Linked DNA regions of Oryzias latipes. The protein of the gene in region 2 purifies or fractionates together with the protein of the main gene of each other region. This does not show direct contact. Links are inferred from orthologs where the notes say so. Each region holds a gene or a part of one and is shown on either strand. Other genes may lie near its edges.

Region 1 (12,587 bases), on a different chromosome or scaffold from region 2:
GAGGAATTTCAAACTAAAATAGGGCCTTAAGCTACAAATGATCAACATTTTAATTCTTTTCAAGGAGGCGGATGCAGAAAAAGTGGAAGCAGACTTTCACTTTTTATACAATGCTTAGAACATGTCAGTTTATAAATCTAAACATTTTCAGAATAAACTGATCATGGCAACAAGGACATGGAAGTCTTTTATTTTGGCAATGCTGCCCCCTACCTGGTTTTATGGGCATGACCATCCTTGTGGTGGGATCCGCCTGCCAGCCTTGACTCACTACGCCTGATTTAGGAGGAAAGACAAGAGCTGGGTAAATCAGCTGGTCCATACAAGTCCCTCCTTTCCTGTGAATTCCTACCTTTGACGGCTTCTTCCACTGAGTAACCCACAAAAGCAGCAAAGTCCTCGGCTGTGATGGAGGTGTACGCCTGTGCCACCAGGCTGTAGGCCCTTTGCCGTGTGCGCTCTGTGAGGACACATGCAGACACCTGAAGGTTTCCGCTCGAAGGCCATAGGGAGGAGGCAGCAGCCACTAGAGCGTGTGCTCGCAGAACCTCAGCAGTGGGTTTACACGTCACATTTCAGGGAAACAGAGACGAGCCACAAACCTACAGTCCACTCGGCCGGTTCGGTCACCCTGTTTCACCAGTGTGCTAAATGTAGTCCCTCCAATTGTGCACATCCTTTTTAAGCAAATGTTAAGTGAACACACAAACTAAGAAAAAAAATCTTCCTGAAACTGTCAAAGGAAGATAAAAAAAGAACCTAAAAGTCCTGTTCAAAGAACTTTGAGCGTCAGGAGGCAAGCTCACCTGTGTGCAACTGAAGACTTCTATGATGACCCCCCTTTCAACAGTAAAAAGTCCTTGGCAATACTGTCAAGGACTGCCAGCATCCACCAATACCTGCTTACTAATCCAGGTTTTTCTTCTGTGCGAGTGTTTGCACTCTGTGACCCACAGGAGTCCTGGCAGTGGCTGCAGGTCCTTACGGCGTTTCTCCGACGTGTGCAGATCCGTCATGACAGGGGCTGATGCAGCACAGGCTCCTCAGGGTCATGGCCTCCGTGTTTTATCGGCTAGCAACAGCTTGTGTGTACCCACAGCAGGCTGCAGCGTAGCAACAGACCGGAGAAGAGAAGGCGGTCCGGAAATTCCCCTAAACTAAGATGTTTCAAATAGTGACACGAAGCTTCCCGCCCTAAAGTGATGCTCCAGACCAAGCGTGTGCAGGCGTCTGTTGGCAGGGCTTCATGGTTCAGTTTAACACCCCCTGAGCTGAGAGCCAAGCGACTTTGGGGAGCTTCGATGACATAGGCCTGAGGATGTATTTTTACCTCCTTTGGGCCACTAAGGAGTTGTTTGGAGCAGCAGCTGGACCTGCCTTTCCCATCATGACCCTTTGACACTTTAAAGTTGTCCAGAAGGTGCAGAGCAAGACATGCCAGAGCACGGTGACGGGGGTTTTAGGGAGCAGAAACAGGACCTGGCGTGCCCCAGCTCAGTCTATTTAAGGGCCCTCTATCAGCTGTCAGCCTTTCACCTCTTCGAAATAACCTCAACATTTCACCAGCAAAGGCAAAGCAGAAGGGCTTTTATTTTTAACCCACTGAGACCTTCAACAAACACGCGAGTGGCGCACTTCCACATTTTGAGGAGATGTCCAACCTTTGAGGGCCATGACGGTCAAAATGAGAAAAGGGCTTTTTGAAAGAGTGCAAAAGTCACTGGAGCAGGAGCTCAGCTTCATGCAACTTTATTCCAGGCATCAGTGGACAGATTCCCAGATTTCCACAGAGTGAGACCAAGAATTTCAAATGCCATCTATTAAAATAATGTGAAGTTTTCAAAACATATCACTCTTTACTTCTCATTTCAATTTATGTGACTTTCCAATACAAAAGTATAAAAAAGACAAGAAGAAAGGAACAGAATATTACAGAGAACGTGTCAAAAAGTACATCCTTTTTCCTTTTTGAGGACGAGGTCAAAGACGAGTCTATCCACCAGATATCTGAAGAAATTTGTCTGCCTTTAAAGAAGGAATATTCTGAATATTCCTTTAAAAACAATATTGCACATATAAGGGCGTGTCATTGCAGCCCACCTGTTTGTCATACATGACCTTACATTTAATTAATAGAATATTCCTAACATATCAAAAACAAAGAAGCCTCCAAAAACATTTACAAAGTTATTTGAAACCATTTTTAGTTACTCTTCCTCCTCCTCAGCATCCTCAAAATCTTCATCATCAGCAACGCCAAAGTCCATTTTAGCTAGGAGGGTCTCCACATGCTCTGTGGACAAAGTGAAGTGGTCCATCTTCTCAAAGCCTGGCTCTGGCCGCTCCTCCCCCAGGGAGGACTTGGCTGCATCTTTGGTTTGTGTGATGAGGCCCTTGGAGAGCAGCAGGAACTCGGCCGCTCCGTTCTGCTCCAGTGCCCTGACAGCTGAATCCGTCAGCTCGGTGCTGGCCTGCAGTCGTTCCCCGTACCGCTGAGCCAGCGCTCGCAGAGCTGCCACCTTCTCGTCCTGCTCCTTCCCAATCTGCTCCAGCAAAATGGCCTTGCGCTCTTCCAGTATGGCGTACAAGAGGTCAAAGCGCTCGGCGAGCCCCTGTTTGGCGGTCTGAGCGTTGTCCTGGACGGCACGGCAGGCGTCGTCCATCTGGTTCAGCAAAGCCTGCAAGCGAGCATTACTAGCCACCAGGGTATCTATCGCGTTGCTCAGTTCACCTTTCTGGGTCTGGTACACGGTTTCTAGAGGAGCCACCTCACAGTCTTTGTGCTGGCCGAACACTTTGCACATGGAGCAGGTGGGAACCTGGCAGGTCACACAGTAGATGTTGATCCTCTCATCGTCGTGCTCCTGGCACATGGGCTCTTTGGATTCTTTGGTCTTCAGGCTGGTCTCCGTGTCGCCGCTGTTTCGACCTTCTTGCTGCTGCTTGTAGATGTCAATAATGTTCTCCACCAGCAAGTTGCGCTGGAGGCCATGAACACCATGTCGGTCGAGCACTACTTCAAAGCGGCAAGTCGGGCAGCGGAAGACTCCGCCCGAGTAGCGGTATGGGTTGCGCGAGTCGTAGAGATCACTGGCACAGCTACGGCACAGGTTGTGCTGACAAGGCAGGATCACCACGGGCTTGGTGAACATCTCCAGGCAGATGGGGCAGCTCAACTGCTTCTCAAGACTATCCATGGGGCTGGGGGGTCGAACAATGGATCCTGTCCTCTGGACATCCATAATAAGTCTCTGTTCTAAAGCCGAACAAACAAGTGTCCACACCTCCAGCAAAGTCAAAAGGCCTTGGTAAAAGGATCAGAACGGCTAGCAAAGTAGGCGATCTCGTCTCCAACAGTCAGTTCCAAGGCTACGATCTATTCTGGTCAAGAGCTTACAGCTCGGTCTTTTATAGGGGCGCCGGCAGCTGGTGACACCCGATCTTTTCCATCCTGACAACAAACATTCCTGACTGCTGGAAGGCCTAGGATCTTTTCATAGAACTGCACCACCATCCACAGCCACTTGTGTCACATGGCCCAGTGGGCACAACACTCCCTGACAGGACACCGGGACAGTGGACCGATCCGAGATAAACAAGGTGCATGTGACTAGATGTGAGGAGCACAGCCAACATCCTGCTCAGGTCTCCTGATAAACAGCAAGTCAACAGTTTGATTTTTCCAAATTCAACCTTTTCTCAGGGTTATTCATCAGTGGGTAAACATGGAAACACATTCATTCTCAGGGTTTTATATTTCAAGGGCTTATCACATAATAAAGGGCTTTGTATTCTTATACCTACTTTTAAGTATTACTTATATTTTATTATGTTTTTGGAAACAGAGCGAACTGACCAGTGAGCATTTTAAATGACAATGACTATAATTATTCTATTCTAACTTTAACAAAAAGTAAAATACACAGGATGTCAATCAAGGGCAACAATGTAAGACCATGTGAAGAACTACAGACACATCTTTCAAGTATTTTCTCTTGCAAATAATTAAATGTAGAAGACATAGTGTCCTAATACAGTAAAAACATGTAATGTGAATACTTTGGCACTGGATAAAGATCATGTTGGTGTGTGAGCCCCGTGTCCTCAGCAGATGTTACCCAAGAGTGTCATGACTGTCTGTTTTTCAGCATGAATGGCAGATCAACAGCAAGCACCATAAACACCCAGAGAAGCTATTCTTAAACTCTGGCACAAACATCACATGACAGCAACACCTCAGTCTTCAGCCCGTCAGAATAAAAGCCGTAAGAAAATCCATCCGTATCAAAAACTGAGCGTGTAAGAAAATAAGCAAATATTCCATAAAGTGGACATAAAGCATCACAATTGGCCCTTCAGCTGTCACAAAGTCCAACTGGGGTATTTCTTATCCAATGAAAATCCTGAAGTCACTTTAGCAAACCCACAAGAGGAGCTTCCTGTTCCACACCAACCCCAGAGCACAATGTATGAACAGTACTAACTTTGCCTTAATTAGTGGTTTGTAGAAGAAATGATCAGATCATCTTAAAGAACTTAAATCAAGTCCTGATTTTTGTAATTACCTCGAAGGGCCTCCATGACTGGGAGGATGTTTTCCGACCACTGGTGAGCTTCAATGGCTGAGTAGATCCCTGGAAAGTCTCTCTGCCAAATGTGCTGGCCTACGGTCCAGATCGCTGTGAGCTCGGGGTTCGCCTGAATGGATCACAGAAAGACAAGTCCATGTTCCCGCACCGTTTCATGAAGGCAGGGGCTCTAAAAACCCCTGTAGGTGGACTAACACCTGAATACGGTGCCGTTTTTAAGACAGACAAACATCAGGAGTGTCTACGACTGAAGCCAGTCAGACTATTAGCAGCATAGAAAGAGAACAGTGACATCAGTAGAAGAAGTGGAGAGCAACTGGTACTTTTCATGAAATAAAGGGGAAAAAAAGGCCTTGTGATTACTCACCGATTTGATTACTTGTGGAACTCGCTTCCATAGATACCTGGCATTGTTCCTGTTAGACGCAATTCAACAGAAAGACATAAAGAGGACATTTGAGATGAGACATGCAGCTGCAGGCAGCAAAAATGGGATTCAACCGAACACAAACAAAGCTGTACAAAATCTTAGTCTCTCTTTTTTTAAAGATAGACATGTTTTAAAGCCTTGTGGTGTGAAGAACCCTTCTGAGTGAACGCTAAAGGACTTCCCTGAACACTGGCTCTAGTTCGTCTTTCTCTTTTGTTGTCCGGTTTGAATGCAGTCAGTGCATTGCTATGCTTGAACACTTGTGAGTGTAATGATGCTGAACAACAACAACAAAAAAAGGATTAACCTCAAAGGAGGCTGGGAAAAAAAGACTTTTGAAAACCTGAAACATTCAGAAACTCTTAGAATTCTTTCTGTGGAAAATCTATTCAGAGGAAGGCCTCGTTTTTTCAAGACAAATCGATGCATCTTCCAGAGGCTCGCGGGAGCGCGCACGCGCGCGCTTCACCCACATGTCGTTGTGGAGCAGGTAGAGGGCCAGCAGCTGCGCGTACACCTGCGGGGTGGCGATGCCTCCTGGCGCCTAGCAACAGCAGAGCGGGGAGGGGCAACGGGGGAGACAGGAGAAGCGAGTTAGTCTGAGCATGCGCGGACGTTGATCTTTCCTTTCTAGTTTTGAATGTAGTAAAGCCAGAGGCTAACTGAAGACAGTTTTAACGACATTTCTACACCGGGATATCCCACAGATTGCGCTTAGAATCGACAGCAGAGCGGATCCCGCGTCTGCACACATCGCTGAGTCTTTCTGTTCGTTCTGCCAACGACGTTCCGTTAGCGACGGCTAGGAGCCGGAGCGTCCTGACAGTTACATCGGCGCTAGCTAGCATCATTAGCCTCGGCCGTGGCTAAAACAGCCGAGGCGTCGCGCTGCCGCAGACGCGTCAGCGGCCCACTTCCCCGCATCACCCGGAAGCGTCTGCTCCTCACCTCAAGCTCCTGCGCCTCGCATTGCTCCTGTAATTTATCAAAGCTTTCCTCCATAGTCACAGCTGTAGGCATGATGACGCCTAGCCGAAGCGCCGGAGCTTCTTCTGTTGTAGGGATTCAAAGTAGAGCTTCCGGGGGAGCGACACACACTGCCCCCTGCTGGACGGAGTTTAAATGTATGGCTTTCTTCCAAGAAGAAAGAAGACTGTCGTGTCATACTGCCACCATCTACAGGCGTAAAAAAATATTTTCTGTAACAACTACCCTGAACAGTTTCTCTTACAAAATCCAAGGAAACAATCCTTTCTCTTTCTGTGCTGCCAGTTTCCAAAATAACATGGAAAAAATTCAAACGAGGATTTTTTCTCATCTTGTTTCTCATAGTTGAGGTTTACCTACCTATCATGAAAATTACAGGCCTCTCATCTTTTTAGGTGGGAGAACTTGAACAATTGTTGGCTGACTAGATTCGACCTGAATTCTTGAACTATTTTAATAAGATTAAATTCAAATGATGCAAATGAACAGTTGAATGTACAGTTTTATTGCAGTAATATTTTCATTAAATAAATATGAACCAAATTGACTGTGAATTCCACATTTGAAGACTACAAATAAAATAAAAGGTCTGCCCGCAAAATAAAAGTTGATCAACAATACATTTGGGTTCCTATGAAATGTTAAGTTTTATTCACTGTTAAATGCTCAACGTGAACTTCTAGATTTAAACTGTTTGAACAGGAAAACTTAACACAAACTGTTTTCTCTTTCAGTACAAACCTCTGTACTTTTAACACACACACACACACAAACTGCCATTTTAGAAATGATTCACTACAGAAGACTGAATAAAGAACTTCCCTGCACTAATGGGATGCTGATACTGAGATCTCGATTGCAGCAGAAAGGTCAGATCTGGCTCAAAGACTGCCCCCCTAGTGACAGACCCTCAGTCCCGTCCTCACGCGGTTCTTATTTAAGTTCATAACAGAGAATGTCTTCTCTCACAAGCATGGAGCCAAACAAGCTCAGGCATTTTCACAGCGAATCTTTGCGTCTGTTTAGAGCGGCCTATATCCAGTTCCAAGAGAGCTGGTGGTAAAACTTGACCAGAGGGAGCCGGTGGCCACTAAACATGAGACGCCACATGAACGTGCAGATGCAGCAGGTCCATCAAAAACCATTGGACTGTTGAAGGCATTCAAACCAAAAATTTAAAACACAAAATAAGACTTTATGCAGATGATGTTTACTATTTACTCCTAATTCACAATCTTCCATCTGCCAAATCATCTCCCTAATTAATAGATTTTCCTCAGTTTCAGAATACTCCATAAACTGGTCTAAAAGCACAATTTTACCAATTAATTGCAATTATCTAAATCCGTCATCTATTAAAATACAAACAGGCAACATAAAGTACTTAGGTATAAATATCTCCTCTAGGCTTTCTGATCTACTCAAGCTAAACCACACCCAACTACTTAAAACAACCGAGGCTGATCTCACTAGATGGAAAACTCTACCCATTTCTCTAATCGGGAGAGTTGCAGCCATAAAAATGATGATTCTCCCAAAAATTAACTACCTATTTTCAATGATTCCTTCCAAACCTCCAACTACTTGGTTCAAATCATTAGACTCATTCATTTCCCAATACCTCTGGGAAGGTAAACCCCCACGGATTAGTTTAAAAACTATTAAAAAACCTAAAGATAGAGGAGGACTAGGCCTTCCAGACTTCCAGGACTACTACTCCGCGAACAGATTGTGTTATGTACAAAAATGGCTGAATCCTGGTGTGCTGGATGAATCCTGGCTAGACATTGAACAAAATCTCTGTGATAACCTAGATATTTCTAATTTACCTTTCTTCAGTTCTAAAATTAAACAACACAAATGCTTCAGAAGTTTAAACATCAGCTCATCCTTAACAGCCTGGTGGGATTTTCTTAAAAAAAACAACCTCACATTATTTCCATGTAAACTTACCCCCATTTGGAACAACCCTGACATTTTTATTAACAAAAACATGATTCATTTTGCTTCATGGAAGAACAAAGGAATCGAGCAGTTCCAGCATATAATTCAGAATAGAAAATTTATGTCCCTCTCAACGTTATCCTCAACCTATGGAATTAATATAAACAAATTTCTAGAATATCAGCAGCTTAAATCAGCTATAAGCACTAAATACTGCCTGACCCAAATAGACCTAGACCCTCCCCTTACAGTAACACATTTCATGGACCTTAAAAATCCCAAACTCACCTCCAAAATTTATAAGATGTTATCAGACATAGATGAAACCATTTACTTACCCATGACAAAATGGGAGTCTGAGCTATCATTGAATTCTAGTGATCAATTTTGGCTACAGATCTGTTTGAATGCCTTTAATATGACCAAAAGCCCTAATCTGCAACTTATTCAGTACAAGATTCTCCACAGAACTCACTACACCGGACAGAGGTTATTTAAAATGGGTCTCAAAGAGTCTGCTACATGCACACAGTGCATAGGTAACAACATAGACGACTATTTGCATGCCCTGTGGGTCTGTCCACCTGTCCAATCATTCTGGCGTAAGGTTTGTGAGGATTTATCAATCTGGTTTAATCATAAGATTCCTGCTTGCCCCAAATTCTGCTTATTAGGTGACCTGAATAACATCAACATGGAATCTAACAAGGCTTATATGGTTCTCACCGCTGTATGTATCGCAAAGAAAACTATCCTCCTAAACTGGAAATCTAAAAATAATCTTAGCATCAACCACTACAGAAACCTCATGTCAGAGCATATTAGTTCAGAGATAATGTCCTCCACAAAAAACCTGTCGGCTTCAGACTCTCCCTGGCTCCAGCTGGTTAGTCACATCACCTAGTGGGGGTGGGATGGTGATAGGTTGAGCCGGGTCCTGGCTGGTTGGGTGGGCCGGGGTGGGTTTGGGGGGGTGGGCTCTGCCGGGCCTGTCGTTCTCCCGGCTCGGGGCTCTGGTTGCCTGGGTGGGGTGGTGGTGGGGGCGCACACTCTGCCGGCAACTTGGCAGGGGTTCCTGGGCGGGTGCCTGCTGGGCGCAGGGTAGGCAGTGCGGCTGACCGGGAACGGCGGCCGGGTGCCGTGCTGGGTGGCTGGTCGCCGTGGCGGGGGCTGGGGGGGGGGCTTGGGGCTCTGGGGCCTGGGGTCGTCTGCCCGTGGCCGGTGTTTCGCCCGTGGCCGGTAGTTGGCGCGTGACCTGGCCCCCCGGGGGTCGGCGCCGCAGTCACAGCAGGGGTTAATGGGTTCACTTGGGTGGGTTTATTTCATTATTATTATTATTATTATTATTATATTAATTATTTTATTATTATTATTATTATTATTATTATTAGTATTAGCATTAGTATTATTATTATTATTATTATTATTACTTTTTTTTTTTTTTTTGGGGGGGGGGCCTGGGGGGGCAGGGTGCTAGTCCTTAGGGGGGCCAGGGGCTGGACCCCCTGCCCCCCCGTTCTGGCACCGGGACCCTTCCTTGCTGGCTGTCTCTCGGCGCCGCGAGGCTCTGGCCTCCAACTGCGGCTGGCTTGGCGTTTCTGGCTGCCCGGCCGCTCTGGGAGGGGGAGCGCCTACCGCGGCCGGCTGGGGGGCCGGTCGCTCGGGGGAGCCTTCTCCCCCGGTTGTGCCCATCCGCCCGCTCCTCCCCGCTCTCACCCAAACAAATATTGCACACAGGCACATAGGGCCCCGGGATCTGGATGGGAGGGGTATGCTGGCGGGGCTCACTGGGGATGCCCCTCTCTGGGTTCTCGTTGGCACCCGCCCTCCTCCCCGCTTTTTACTTGCATATTAGACACTCTGATTCATCTAGGGCCTTGTGGAGAGGGTCTGGTGGAGGGGGGCACGGTGAAACATCCGTGCTCACCTTTCGCTGGCCCCCCCACAATTTTAACTTCCTCTGTAGACACACACACTGCATGCTAGCAGCACACACACAGCAAATACACACCACTCACAGAGGGACTCCGGAGTGGGGGGCTTTGCGGCTTGGCAGCGGTGGATCCCCCCACACTGGTGACCTCCTATTTTACCTGCAGCACACACACAGCACTCCCACACCTCCATACATGGGTGGGGTCGAGGGGGGGCGGCCGGTCTTCACCCGCCTGGTCCTCTCGGGGCGGCCGGGCTTATGGGTGTCCTGTCGGCTGCGGGAGGGGTCGGGCATGCGGCGCTGGGGGTCGGCCGGCTGGGGGGGGGTTGCTGCTTGGCGGCGGGGGTAGGGAGGGTAACCAGATGATTGTGAGTATGTGTGTGTGAGTGCATGGGTAGGACCGACCTGGGGGCTGGCTCGCTGGGACCCTCTGGGGCTTTCCCTCCCCATCACAGAGAGGGGAGGGCACTGAGAGGGTTGGGGAGGGGGGGTCAGATATTATGGCGGGGGGGGGGGGTAGTGCGTAGGGTTTTTGGGGGGTGGCTGTGGCTGTGGGTGCGTGGCGATCCCTGGGTTGCTAAGGTCGCGGGCCTGGGCTGGCTTGCGGGGACGGGGCGCCGGTCGGGTGGTGGCCGGCTCTTGGGTTCCTGGGGCCCTGGCTTCGTCCCTGGCCTTTGTCTCGGTGTCCGGCGCCCGGTGGCCCCCATGGCTGCCGCCTGGTACGGCTAAGCGCTCCTGTCTTGTGGCCTGGGGGCCGGACACTGGGTTCGCTTGTGCCTCTGGGCATTGGGGGGGCCCCTGTAGGGGGGCCCTCTCTGTGCCTGGCTGGTGGGGTGGGCGGTCCCCTCCTCCTCCCCTCCCGGGCTGCCTGGGTCCGGATGCTGGGGGGGCTTCTGGCCTGGGGGGCTCTCCTCCCCTCTCCTGGTCTGGCTGGTCTGGCTGGGTAGGATCTGGCTCCCTTTATGAACACACGGTTCACGTCGGCAGCATGCATGTATCTCCACCCCCACGTGCACGTGCACACTCCACACTGCTCCCTGTCTGCTTCATCCCTCCTCCTTACCTACAGTGTATTGATGGACAGTTTTTTTTTTCTCGCTCATCTTAGTGTCAGATTTTCACCTTTGATGTAACATTCGTCTTTCCAGCAGATCTGGTATAATTGTTACAGCTTAAATTAATAACTTAGTCAAATCAGTGCTTGTATCCCCCACCTTTTCACCTTTCTTCCTTTTACTCTCTTCCACCCTCCCCTCACATTCTTCCCCTCTCCCTCCCCACACACACTAAATGTAACAAATAAATAAAAAATAATACGACAAAAAGGGGTTTATACAAATCTACACTCTAGTTTCTTGAAGCTATATAACCTCTTTTTGTGATAGTAAAACCTGTCCAACACAAAAAGCCTTCAGCTCTAATCTGTTTGCTCAGCTGTTGGACAGAACAAGTTAAAAAAAAAAAAAAAAAAAAAAAAAAAAAAAAAAACCATTGGACTGGACTTCTATACAACATACAAACTATGTCCACTATTTTGACATCTAATAACGACCTCCTATCTCGTCTCTCCGCCTCTTATACAGCAAAAAAGAAGTAACCACAACAGGATGGAATAACAAAGACTAAAACAGGGTGAGACAACGTAAGACAAAAGCCAGATGACAGGACACATATGCAAAAGAAACCCCATTTGTATTAGAGTATAATACAACATAAGCAAGTTGTTTGCAATTTTTTGACTCAAGATGAACAAAACAATATGACATGACATGAAAATGTTAGGAATGTGGGCGTGGTTAAAAAAAAAAAACTGAATTGCCAACATAATCCAAAAAATTACTTCTGGATTTTGAGGACAGGAAGACACAGACAGATTCAAAGGCAGAGTAAAACATCAGACAGACTTGTAAAAAAAGGTTCCAGGTGATGTAACATGTATAGTGAGGATGAAGCTGCACACTGGAGGACAAACTGAAATGGGGAGCTTGAGTTTGAGCTAATTTGCTTCTCTGAGACCTTTGAAAGGTGTCTGCTGCGTCACCAGTGGAGTGGATAACCGTCACAAGGATCCGATGAGAGCCAGAAACACAATAAAGCCAACACAGACAGGCTGAACCTGCATGAGGCTGGCTTCCAGCAAACAGAGCTGCAGCCATGTCCATCCGCCTCACTGCTGCAAGAGTCAATGGTAGATCCATAAACGGCACTTTTTTTCCTTGATTTAAACCCAAAGTGTTTCCATTCACTCATGCACACACTTCATTGCCTCACATTACACAAACCTCAGTCAGCAGGAGCAACGTGGGGCTCAGTGTTTTGCCCAAGGACACTTGGGAGGGCAAGGCGGGAACCAAACCTGTGATGTTAAGAGGTCAACTGCTCTACCGCTTCACCACAGTAACGGAAGCTGCACTTGTGCTGTCAGCAGAGGACAAATTTACACTTTTCAATGTCTCAAACGGTTTCATAACACCTCCAGGGCAGATGCAGTCCTTTATGGAGTGCATAAAAATAGATAAAAGAAACAACAGCAACTGGAAAAGAAGAGACAAAAATAGAATCAGGTTGAAACAAAATTAATGGCAGTTTTATTTATTTTTAACATCAGACACTTTTTATGTAAGAACAAAATCTCAAAAGACTTCTGACTTCTGAGGATTAGAACTCTTGGCAGCCCCAGTGTGGCAATGCAAAATGCATT
Region 2 (12,479 bases):
AGTCCAAGAAGACTATGGATCACAATATTTATTATTTTCTAAAAAAAAAAACCCTGCAATAGGTGAAACCTTTTAAATATTTTTTTTACAATAACTCTAGATGTTTTAAAGCTCTACATTTCCTAAAGACACACTGGACATTTTTCTCTCTTGTTTAAACTCAAAGTTCAAACCTTTGAAAAAACAAGTCCAGTATTATAGAATGAAAACAAAGATCTGCTCGCAATTGAAGATTCATATAGATTTGGCTAAATGAATGCATTCTGTACAGGAGACACAACACGGAGGAGATTGATTAACAAAGTTAACAGCCAATCACGGCGCAGAACATAAGGTGGTGTAAAAAAAAAAAAAAGCAATAAAACAACTGGACAAAATGACACCAAAGAGATCAGCAAAACAGTGAAACTACAAAAGCTAAAACGGCTATATAGTGAAGAACCAATGTCATTCAGAAAACTACAGAAATGATTTTAGGAAAGTCTCACAACTGGTAAGCATAAATCAGAGTTGATTTTTATAATTTTGTGGATAAATGCAGCTAAAGACCTACAGGAGTGTGGTCTGAACAACACTAACCTCGCAGCAGATCTGACAGAAGAGGTCCACAGTCCTCCGGAATAGTGTAGTCTCCTTTTCCAATGTTCTCAAATAGCTTATAGATATTGTCTCCCTCAAACGGATAAAGACTTGTTGTAATGTTATATCTGAATGAAAAGAAGTAGTAAGATGGGTTAGGAATCATAAACAATTAGTCAAAGGAAACAAACAGTTTCACTCACAGTGTTACTCCAGCAGACCAAATGTCCACTTTAAACCCTGAAAAAGTATCCAGTCCATTGGCGATTTCCGGAGGCTGGAAGGCGGGAGAGCCCTGACTCGTGCGACACGTGTCATCTTCAGCAAATGGGTGAAGGGCCTGTAAATTATGTACATATCTTTAAAATGATTGACCTATTTTGTCGTCATTCTTTTAAGCCAAACAAAAATAAATCCATTTATTTTATGTGGATTAAGTGAATATGAACAAAAATCATTTTTCAAAATAAATGATCTTTCTTTGAATATAATCTACATAGATTTAAACAGACAGAAAACTTCCAAATGCCTTTTCTTACACAAGCACATGCCAACGTTCAGGTGGCAAGAACAAACAGAGCTGTCGAAAGGTGAAACCTGACAGAAACAACACAACCCAAAATCACCTCTGCTACTCCAAGGTCGGAGATTTTAAGTGCCCCATCCGTGGTTAGCAGCAGATTTCCAGGTTTAATGTCTTTGTGAACGATTCCCTGGCTGTGCAAATATTCAAGGCCATCTATAAGTTGGCAAAAGTACCTGCAAAAAGCAACAACAGAGAAAAAAAGGTAGCATTTACAAAAATCAATCAATCAATCAATACTGTGGTCAGAAAAAGCTTAATTAATTGAAAAGTCAGATTAAGTGGCTTTGCAAGAGCAATGAGACATTTACTGAACCTCTGGCTGCTTGATTTACAGAAAAGCTTGGCAAACTCTGATCTAAACTTAGACTTGCAGGAGCGACTCCAGAGGCTAAATATAACAAAAAAAAAAGAGAGGCTCAGACTGGAGAGCGAAGGGAGAGAAAAGGGAACTCACCCGTGAGCTTGGAACACTGGAAATCTTTTCTCTGGAACACTATCCAGCATTTCTTGCATCCCACAAACACAATACTCCATCACCATATACGTAAATCGAGAGTCAAGGAAATGCAACATACCAGATGCTTTAAAAAAAACAAAACAATCTAAAGCAAAACTTGACAGCCACAAATTTTTATTTTATTTTTCTTTGCTCTTTTATCTGTGGTTTTAATCCGATTAAGTCTACATTTAAAAAAGAAGGTTGAGGATATATTTTCTGCTTCTCCTCGTTGTAAAGTACGTCCACCAACTGAATCACATTCTTGTGTTGGAGTCTTCTTAGCAGCTGAATCTCCCTAAAAATGAAAATGAGATATGACAAGGAAAAACATTGTTAGGTTAAAAACAATGAAAACAAAGAATTCTGGGTCACAAAATGCTGGAAAATGTTTCCAGTAATTGCAGGTCAAAGTGGCAAACATTGCAGCAAGCAAGAGTCTGCTGACATCTTTCACAAGCCAAGTAACAGAAAGATTAGCGTAAGTTGTTTGTTCTGAGGACGGGATTAACTTGGTGAAGTACTGTTCCAGTGGAGGGTGTGTTATTTCTTTTTTTTCTTCAAAAAGCAAACAAACACACAAATTGGAATCTGCTAAATGAGCCCAGGGAACAGGATGAGCTTCACTTCAAAGACAATAAAGCAACATCAAACTCTGAAACCAACTGAAAAGACAATCAAATACTTACAAAATATATGAAACAATGTGGCCTCATTGATAAGAGACGCAAAAGAAATAAAGGAAAGGGTAGGATAATTGCAAATCCAAGTCCAGACACGTGAGAATATTTGTAGTTTGGTGCTCAAAACGTTGTCGTTCTCTCCTTCCTGCATAACACATGTGTGACCTTTAGGGACATAGGGAAGCGATATTGTTTGTGCCTCTGTTGAAAACATATACCTTCAAAAGACAAATAGTTCTAAAGACTATGGAGTAATGAAGACAAAATAAACAAAAGTAAAAGACAAAGAGAAGCTTTTCTTTGCCTCAACTTCATTTTCACTACAAATTCACGGTTAAAAAAGGCAAAACGAAGGGTCTTAATTTGACACATGGCTGCACCAGTGCTCAGAAAAGTATAAAAACTCATGCACTAGTGGGGGGAAAAACTCTAATTTTAACTGAACAATAAACAAAAAGGAAATGTGTAAAATGGTGCATCCAAACACCTAATGAAATCCACAACATGGAATCAGAGGCCATGTCAGCACAGAAGGCGCACGGACTGCAAAGACGGCGTCACTTCAAACGTGTACTGAAGGACCTTGCTCGCTTACAGGCCGCAGCGCTGACAGGACTGCAACACTCAGCGATATCTAACCAAACCAACAGCAGCAGCAACACATAAACAAGTCGCCAACATCTGAAGCTGTGCTCTGTTCAAGTCAATCAGGGTGTGTCTGCGTATCTGTGCACTTCTATCGTTCCTGAAAGGCCTTTCTTGGGGTGTTACCATAGAAACTAGGAAGGCAGTGCTTAATCACTGCAAGTAAGAGCTTGCCCATCCTGATAGATAAACTGTTTGGAAGACAGGAATGCCAAGCAGCCAAAGAGGAAAAATATCAGCTTAAGGTTATCAAAGTATCCACTCACAGAGACAGAGACATCCAGACACAGAGTGTAAAAATTCTCAAGGTCTATCATAAGCACAGCAACAGGAAAACTTGCGTTATAGACTGTGAAAAACTATGGGGGTGTAATCCAGCATCATCATCTACTTCCTCACACATTTTTATTGGCTCTTTTCAAAGCAACAAAGAGATTCAGTTTTGAAATGTATTCAGTTTCTCCCTTTACGGTCTTTCTGTGCAGCTGTAGAATTGTTTCTCTTCACTCCAACATTTGCTCTTTACACACAAACTCTAGAGTCACGGATGAAAACATAATAAAGAGGGCCAGAAATAGTGCTCATGGCTGCATCAAACAGGTTTTTCATTTTCAGCATGTTTGTTGTAAAGCTTGAAGGGTTAGCAGGGCTATTACCCAACTTCACACATTTTTTTTTTTTAATTTGCTGTTGGTTTCCAGTAACTGTTCTGGAGATCCATCTCCTTGAAGTGTTGCTGCCAACATGGAAAGCGTCGTTGTTGCGGACAAATAATGTCCCTTATCCACCATGCTCAGGGTGCTGTAAACCCTGTAAACACTACATTTCCTGTCCTTTTTGCATCAGTGATATACCTGCAGAGCACCACAACACAATGTAGCATTTCCAGTTTAGAAAATTCTTTCTCTTGTAAAAACTTTAACCCTTGTTCGACATGTGGAACAGATAAAATTCCATTTTCTTGTTTTTTTGTGTTTGCTAAAAGTAAGAGATTAAAGCACATCCTTCAGGAGGCAACAACTAAACAGTTCTATGCAGTTCGTTCCTGTTCCTGGAATTACTAGTCCTGCTGTTTTGACAGGCACAAGACCTTTTTTACCCCTCATGAAGGAACCCATTTATTCCATTTTCCAGAGCCATCTCAACAATTAGCAAAAGCCTGGATTCCTAGTTTAGTATGGTAATGTAATTAAAAGCTGAAATGCTCCACAGGGAAGAGACGATGCAGAAAAGATGAACATCCAATTTGGCAAAATAGTGATTAAGCTGCGATTAGTCAGTTCTGACAGCCATGTGAGAATCAAGTTATTTTGATCCTCATAGTGGAATCTCAGTAACAGAAACTCCCAACAACAATCAGGTTTAAAAAATAAAAAAATAAAACTGGTATCTAATTGATCTCAAATATGCTTTCTATTTTTAATTAATTGACAACCTATTGAACAAAGTGCATTTAAATACCATTTATATATTTGTTTTCTGCCAGACTTTAAGTCATGGATCTAAAGTGGAGGTTAGGAAATTGCTGAGCTGTTCTTTCACATTAAGAGCACGATTAAAATGAATAAAAACATAAATAAAAAAATTCATGGACATAAACACTAGTAAATAAACACAATTGTCATCTGGAGCTGCCAATTTATTCTATACTGCTCACTTTGCTCACCGAAAAGATGAACTCTTCGTTATATTTTAAGGAAGTGATGTCACAAAACTGTGGAGTGCAGTTACAGAATAAAAAAAATAGATTTGATCCCAAAACTAAAACTGTTTGTAGAAATGAACGAATCCGTCGTCTGATTTGTAGTTTTTGGAGATGCTAAATTATTCTAATCTATTTTCTGCATTGCTTTGTCAAAATAATTTAGTAGAAAACCTGCTGTCCTCATAAAAACTAAAACTAAAAATATTCCAGCAGCTTTTCTTCCAACTTAAAAGTTACTTTAGCGAGATTAGAAAAACAAAGACAAATACTGAAATGTGGTCGCCTCCAATGGGTTTTCCTGTGAATCAAATCCAATTTCATTTTAATTTTATTTAATTTCACTTTTCCAACTCAAAGAGCTTTAAATAAAAACACAATCTACTCTTAAAAACAAAGACATTACACTTCGCACAAGTTAAAAGCCAATAAACTGTTTTGGTGCTCAATTAACTAAATTTTAAAGTATGAGAATTATCAGCACAAGATTACACTAAAAAATAAAATGAAATAAAATAAAACTTACTTCTTCACATTGGCTTCACCGTTGGGAATCCTCCTAAGTTTCTTCTTCTTCAGGATCTTAACAGCCCTCCGACAAAGTGTTTCTGAGTCCAGCATTTCTTTAACTTTGCCATAAGATCCTTCTCCTAAAAGATCCCCCATTAAGTATTTTCCTATTAGCTTTGCCCTCTTCCTCCGTGGCTGGTAGATCACCTCTGTAGAATCAATGCGGTGGATGAAAGTGTCCATCTCCATCAGTTCATTTTCATTTAAATAGTCCAGATGATGCAGCTCTCCGGCACTCATGACTGCAAAGTTCAAACACTGCACCTTTAGCCTTGTGTGAAACACAATGTTTGCAAACGGCTTTAATGCTACTGGGGTAAAATCCACTGTTAATCTGTCAGCAGGAAATCAGGTGTTTCTATTCAAGGGGGAGAATTTGAAAAATACTGAAAATGGAGGAGGGAATTATGAGGCCTTGGAGTTGAGGGATTATCAGTTGGACATCTGTAAACATTAGGACTCTTCTTCCTCAAGAGCAATGAGAAGGGGTGTCTGCTGTGACAATTTAGCGCCTAGAACTCTGCATTAGGAACTAAAGCTATAGGTGCATTTGCAGAAAAAATTAAAAATATATAATTCTACAACATTAATCCTTTATTAGTCTCAATCACCTATTAATTTATTAATTACAGTACAGTTTTAGGTCAAGGCAATGTCTTTTCCCTCAAAACCTGGCAGCACGGCATTGCTGTCAAAGATCCGTACTGTGTGGCACAACTTCCATGGGACACACTAGGGTGGATATCTGGATGAGCTCAGATTGGAGGCAAAAAGCAGCAGGCTCTGTCCAATTCCTGGTGTCAGTCGGGAGGTCGACCGAACCGTCCAGTGTCAGGTGTCCTCCATCTCAACACTGTTTAGTGCCTGGGAAAAAGGTCAAGTATCAAATGAAAAACTAGTCAAAAATGTATTTCTCCCAAGACCAATTTATACAGTTTACTTTTCAATCCAGCTGTTTACACAACAACACCAGATTGGTTAACCTTCATTAAGACCCAAAGGGAGTCATTTGTACCACTGTTACTAAATCGAATAAGAATACATCTGCGATGGACAGGGATTCTTGGGATGCCATCAAAAATAATCCTTTACAAATATGTTCTCATTATGGGTCTGTTCAATATTTGCAGACTTATTTTTTTGTAGTACTTTGTTTTTTCTTGCATTTATAAAAAAAAGGATCAAGTTATAACGTAATATATATATATATATATATATATATATATATATATATATATATATATATATATATATATATATATATCTTTTAAACAAACTTTACTGACAAACATTGCACATACAGAATATCTTATAATACTACCTACAAAAATATTGAACTTGTGACAGGAGGTTGAATAAAAACAGCAAAAAGCAATAATACTTAAAATATTTAAAAAAGAAAAATAAAGGCTAAAAATATTTGGGAAAAAAAAGACTCCTAAAGTTTTAAATGAGACCAAGCTTCAACTGGTTAAACAGTTCTTTCTAGTGCAGGATTCAATCCTTTACAAGTCTCTCTCTTTTATTTTATTTAAAAAAAAAAACTATCATACAGGTTTTTCTGTTAGCATATTTGCACTTGTGTATGTGATATTTTGCCATAATTATAAACAAACTAACTATAAATTTTCTCCGTGTTTAATTTCCCATGAATAAAATATAACAGTCATGTAACGTTAGTTCTTTCCAGTAAATTAGCACTTAATCAGGTATTAGACTTATTAGAACAAAAACAAAACGAAGGCAGAGTTTAATGGGAAAAAAATACATTGATGGTGGAAATGACTTTATATTAAATATTATTATTCCAAATGTACGGGCGCCTTTTTCCCCACAAGAACTTCAGAAACTTAGCTTTTTAATTGAAATCCCCCTTGGGCTATGGTTAACTTAGTTGACAGCGCTGTAAAGAGTGGAGTCAAAGTCTGCTTTATTACACATAATTCTAACTTTGAAAAGTTTATCGCCAAAAAAAAAGTTAGAACAAAGGAACATCTGAATGTAAACATTTAAAGAGTTTGGACGGTTGGTTAGCGGCTAAGCTAGGTCAGCAACTCTCGCTGAGTGAATGAGCAATCTTTCCCATTCGAGCTGTCACTTGCTGATTCTTCAGGATCTACACAGATGTCGGGCCAGTTAGGTCGATATAAACACAGAAGCAAGCAGCGGTAAAAACGATTACCTTTTTCGGTAAAAGTTGAGAACTGATATGCAGGCAAGGGAGATAACCGAAACGTCGTCACAAAACTGCAGCTAACGGTGGATGTGCAGCACAGCAGCTAGCAAAGTTCGTCAGAGGCGAACACAATTTCCTGTCAACACTGCAGGATACTTTTCCACCAAGAAAAATCAGACCGGGATTGATTTAACTCCCGGAAACAGACCGAACAGATAACAAAAATGGAACTACTAACGCACGGCTAACCGCTGGCTAGCAAGACGCTTATGAGTCCCATGTAAAATGCCAGCTAGTCGCTTTGCAAGCTAGCACTAGTAGCAGCCTCCCGGTACCGGCTCTTACCTTAATCCATATGAACCGGTCTCCACCGCAGTGTCCGTCTGTCCTTATACAGTGAAATATCGCTCGGAATTCTGAGCCCCCCTCCGAGAAAACACTTAATAATCTCTGACAATTCGTAATACTCTTTCCTCTCAGGTTGTCGCCATCTTGTTTACCTTCCTCCCGAACTTGCGCAGATTGTGCCGAACGTTACTGCGTCAAATCAAAGTTTCGTCCGCTTCCCGGAGGCGCAGGAGCGGCGACAACTAGGAATGTCTCACGGCGGGTCTTATTATTTTTATCATTTGTTAGATTTATCCTTTTTATTTAATGCATGACTTGGATAATAGTTTATACCTGTTATACAGGTAGATCGTTTATTCAATTACAGAAAAAAAAATTCTTGCAGATTTAGGGCACAGATATAAAAATAAAACATGAAAAAAGAGAATAAATAAATAAAACAAAACATTTGTTCCATAAAAAAAAAAAAAAAGTAAAAAAATAAAAATATTTGTAATGGGACCCTAAAATAAGTAAAACAGCTTTATTTATTTATTTGCAAACGAGCATTAACTCTTAAAGATAAATAAAATAAAACCAATATTAACCAAGAAAAGATGTATAAGGAACCAGGTACTTTTGAACGCATATGCAAAAGAATAATTAATACAAATAAAAATATTAGATATTTAGTGACCTTTGGTCAATATCAGATTAAAAGGGTCAAAATGTTAGCTTGAGAAATTAAAACAAGATGCCTAAATTTGAGTAAGATTTAGGCCATCTTATTAAATATTTTCACCCAAAAATACATATTATTCTGTTTGTTCTATTTGTTTTGGAAGTTGACAAGTTTTAAACAGCAACATTTATTACAAACCTCTTCTTGATATGTCACACTATTTTCCTTCTTCTAACAGTAAAGATGAAATCATGTTCCGATGTCAGTGGGCTCTGATTGATGACATAGGTGATGGAAGGCTATATGTACGGTAGTTATTTTTGTCCCATGTAAACCTGGAGGATGTTACATTGATAGTCTCAGTCAAAGATACTTTAACTCAGAGGTTCATGGATTTGAAGTGAGGAAACGATAGATAAGGTTGCAGAAATACCTGCACTTAACACACAGGTGAATCCGATTGTTTCTTTAGTTTAGGTTTCTTTAGTCCAAACTCGTTTCACAGTAAACAGTTGTTATTTATCACTTTTATTAAGATGTGAGACATTTACATTTCAGTGAGTTGCTGTTTTCATTATTAACAAAGCTCAAGATAATGGGAAAAAAAACAGCACAGTGAGGACCTCACTCCATGTAAGAACTACACAAAAAAGTGTACTTAGTGATGCCAACGATGCAGATCTTCCGTTTTTTTTTACATCTGAAATGTAGCAAAACAGTGGAAAATCTTTCCATCCAATGCAATCAGAGTAAGGAGTTTTTTAAATGAACATAAAAATGCATTTTCCATTATTTCCCACTTTATCTTTCTTCACACATCACATTTAAAATTGCTTAAGTTCTAAATTAAGAGTTTACATTTCAAAAACAAGCTAAACAGTGACATCAACTCGCTTTTATATTACAGATACAAACAGAAAGAACTCCCTTTTTTAATAATACGGTCGTCGTGGATTATTCTGTAAAAGAAACACAAAAGGTAGATTAAATTCTGTGCAAATATTTGGACAGATCTAAGAGATGGTAAACTATTGAACAATGCTTTATGCAAATTTAAACTAGCAAACGACAATTTTGAGAGTTCTGTAGTTGTAAACAAGTTTTAGCAGAAGATTGTTACCAGGGGGTTTGGCCTGAAACGGTAAGCAAGCATCATCCTCTTTCGGAAAGCGTCGTATTCATCGTCACTTTTTGTGAGCTCAGCTGGACGGTCAACCCCGAAACCACCGCCATTTGTGGCTGTAATTCCCCTGGAAAAGATTAAAGACAGAAAGAAAAAACGCATTTATCTCTGTCTGATTTACTGACAACTGAAAGGAAGGTGATGCTGTTTCAGACATATTTTGTGTGTAAAGTCACTATACAAAGCTTCATTCTAAGAAGCTGATGTGTGGATGTATGACAGACTAATTTGGTAAAAGTTTACAAGAAACAGAATTTAGATTATTAGATTATCGTCCTTAAAAATTTAAGATATAAAAAAAATACAGCATGAAAAAACTGAATATTATGTCTGGATTAAATTGAAGGTGAAATTGAAGGTAAAACTGACTAAGAACTGGTATGAAATATTAGTTAATCATTGAGCTGTCCTTGGAGTTTTAAGTATGTATGGTCAGTCAGTCGCACATAAAACTTGAGAAGCATAAAGACGTACTTGTTTACTGGAGCTTTGATTCCTTGTCCTTCACTTCCAAGGCCTTCTCCTTCCTTCCAGCCCATCTTCATGAGCATTCGGAAACCGAGGTTCTCCACTGTCAGCTTAAACTCTTTATACTCAGAATAGTCCGGATCGCGACCCTCCTGCAATTTGAGAAGACAAAAGTGTGCAGACATGTCACAGAGCATGGAAGGCGAGGACAACTTTAGGGATTTGTCTATGCAGCATAGATACAGATACAGATAAAAAAACATCTGCATATCCACAAATCCCCTGGTGTTTATGGTTCCACTGAGAGCTTAAATACCTCTTTCAGTCAATAAGAGATAACCGTCCTAATAGTATACTTGATGGAATTTTTGATAGATATATATTACATTTGTGGTGCTTTTTTTGTTTTGACATTACTAGTTTAGAGCCCTAATGCTATAAGATGCCTGTGGCCTGCCAGAAAAAACAACTCTGCAGCTGTCAGAGATTGTTTAAATGCGACTAATGAGGTCCAACTGGATGCTAAATGCATTTTAGATAGTTTGGGAATTTGTTTAGCTTTTGAGATTGTATATTGTGTGCTCTCATTAAAGGAATAAATGAATAACACAAATCAGAGAAGATCCAATAAGAATCACACATTCATATCTGGATCTTTGATTTTGTTCAAACATTGATCTATTATTCTTTACCCAACCCACCAAAATCATTGGAGTGAGTCTTTACAAAAAATAAGATTGAATCCCAGTTAATGTGAGCATATTAGGTCACACCTTTGTAGCATCACAACATTTTCCCAGAGAACATCTAGAGAAACTTCTTCTCTGTAAAGTTTAGCTTAAATACTCAAGACTGAAATAAATAACTAAATGATTAAGATTTTAAACTAACTACAGCCAAACCCAGTAGTTTTATATAAAAAAACTAAATATAATTTAATTGTAAGAAATTTACTTTGAAATGAGCTTCATAAATAAATCTTTCCTTCTTTAAAGCCTCGTCTTAAAATGTTTTACACAATAATGCAATATGTTACTGTTTACTGTTTTTTTTTTCTACACACAATTACCTCCCAAAGGCTCACAAACACATTTACTAAAAGGAGGACTTACCTTTAGGGCCTTAAAGGTTTCCATGAACTTCTCCAGCTCTTCGGGCGGCAAGAAGTCACCAATAAAATGTTTTCCTTTGCCCATCTCTGTCAGGGATTCTGCCCACTCTAGAAACGCACAAAACAATTTCATCACCACAGAAAAAAAGGGTTATGTGCGTTTATTAAAGCATGAGTTCATGGGGCATGTTCATTTTTACTCTTCCAAAATGTGACTGCAGATATATTAGAAATCCAACGATTATTGTAAGATTTCTGTGCCAAAAAAAGATGTAAAAAAAACGTGACAAACTGTCATTTTTAGCAACCCCCCCTCCAATTAAAAATACATAAAACAAATCAAATTAACCAAAAATGTGTAATAGTAAAAAAAAAAACCACTACATTCAAAGCAATAACACAATAAATGAGTTGGTTTTTCTTTTTAAACTAATTTTCCTCCTCTCCCAGCTCTCCATTTCTAAAATCCTCCCCCAAAACTGTAGCTGAGAGACAGAAAATAGCTTGTCTCTGAAAAAAAAATCTAAATGAAATTGTAAAATTCAATTGCAAAGCTCCTTGAATCAAGAGACAGGGCCCTAAATTGGAAAACCAACTAATCTGACCTTAGAAGCTGCAAATGAGGAGTTAAAAAAATGATCCTGATTAAGACTAAACATTTGAGGAGAAGCACAACAGGTTCAAATGATTTACTTCTGAATCAGCAGCGTTTCTGTATTTTTCTTGGTCTTACCCCTTGTTTTCTCCATTTCCATCTTTCGAAGCTGGTGTTCCCACGTTCCTGCGTCCTGATCGACCTCTTCATCACTGTCGTATTCATGTTGGTGCTCTTTTATGGCTTTCTCCCACATGTTCTGCATTTCTGCCATGGCACGCTTGTGCTTCATTATCATGTCGTACATTTCCTGCATCTGTGGAGAAAACAAAACCCCTGGAGGATCAGAGAGCTGTCCCCGCTGAAAACAAACACTTATTTGATGGACTTTCCTTTTTGCCATGAGAAAAAAAAAAAAAAAGAGAAGCTAAAAACAACACAACACAACACAGGACATCATGGAGCCTGTCTTTGTACCTCTTGTTGTTCTTTAAGTTGTCTTTTCTGGTCCTCAGATAATTCTGTCACCCCCACCAGACCAAGTGGCTTCCCCTTCTTATAACCAAGGCCACTGAGCTCCTGGGCTAAAACAGACGCATCAATCATTCATTTTCAACTGGTAAAAGTCAAATATCCAAAAAATCTATAATTGAAGTGTAGATCATGCTTTCAAAGT

What was found.
Region 1: the proteins of stk11 (region 2) and cops8 purify together in Homo sapiens (affinity purification with mass spectrometry; 3 studies listed by BioGRID and IntAct, with this or other methods). This does not show direct contact. The link is inferred for Oryzias latipes from reciprocal best matches to the Homo sapiens genes STK11 and COPS8.

The regions. Positions count from the first base shown.
Region 1 is NC_019879.2:1,334,774-1,347,360, reverse strand, and holds the start of cops8 (COP9 signalosome complex subunit 8), read right to left. Parts: upstream 6,100-12,587; 5' UTR 6,040-6,099; coding exon 5,968-6,039; intron 5,564-5,967; coding exon 5,493-5,563; intron 5,006-5,492; coding exon 4,957-5,005; intron 4,699-4,956; coding exon 4,566-4,698; intron 3,773-4,565; exon of another isoform or gene 807-3,772; intron 461-806; coding exon 353-460; intron 277-352; coding exon 214-276; intron 1-213. UniProt on the Homo sapiens protein: Component of the COP9 signalosome complex (CSN), a complex involved in various cellular and developmental processes.
Region 2 is NC_019875.2:22,742,745-22,755,223, reverse strand, and holds the start of stk11 (serine/threonine-protein kinase STK11), read right to left. Parts: upstream 8,021-12,479; 5' UTR 7,783-8,020; intron 7,678-7,782; exon of another isoform or gene 7,444-7,677; intron 6,126-7,443; 5' UTR 5,502-6,125; coding exon 5,218-5,501; intron 1,960-5,217; coding exon 1,876-1,959; intron 1,710-1,875; coding exon 1,620-1,709; intron 1,339-1,619; coding exon 1,206-1,338; intron 920-1,205; coding exon 783-919; intron 708-782; coding exon 580-707; intron 1-579. Other genes in the region: sugp1 (SURP and G-patch domain-containing protein 1), read right to left, coding at 9,379-9,405, 9,567-9,696, 10,104-10,249, 11,210-11,316, 11,942-12,119, 12,281-12,387. UniProt on the Homo sapiens protein: Tumor suppressor serine/threonine-protein kinase that controls the activity of AMP-activated protein kinase (AMPK) family members, thereby playing a role in various processes such as cell metabolism, cell polarity, apoptosis and DNA damage response.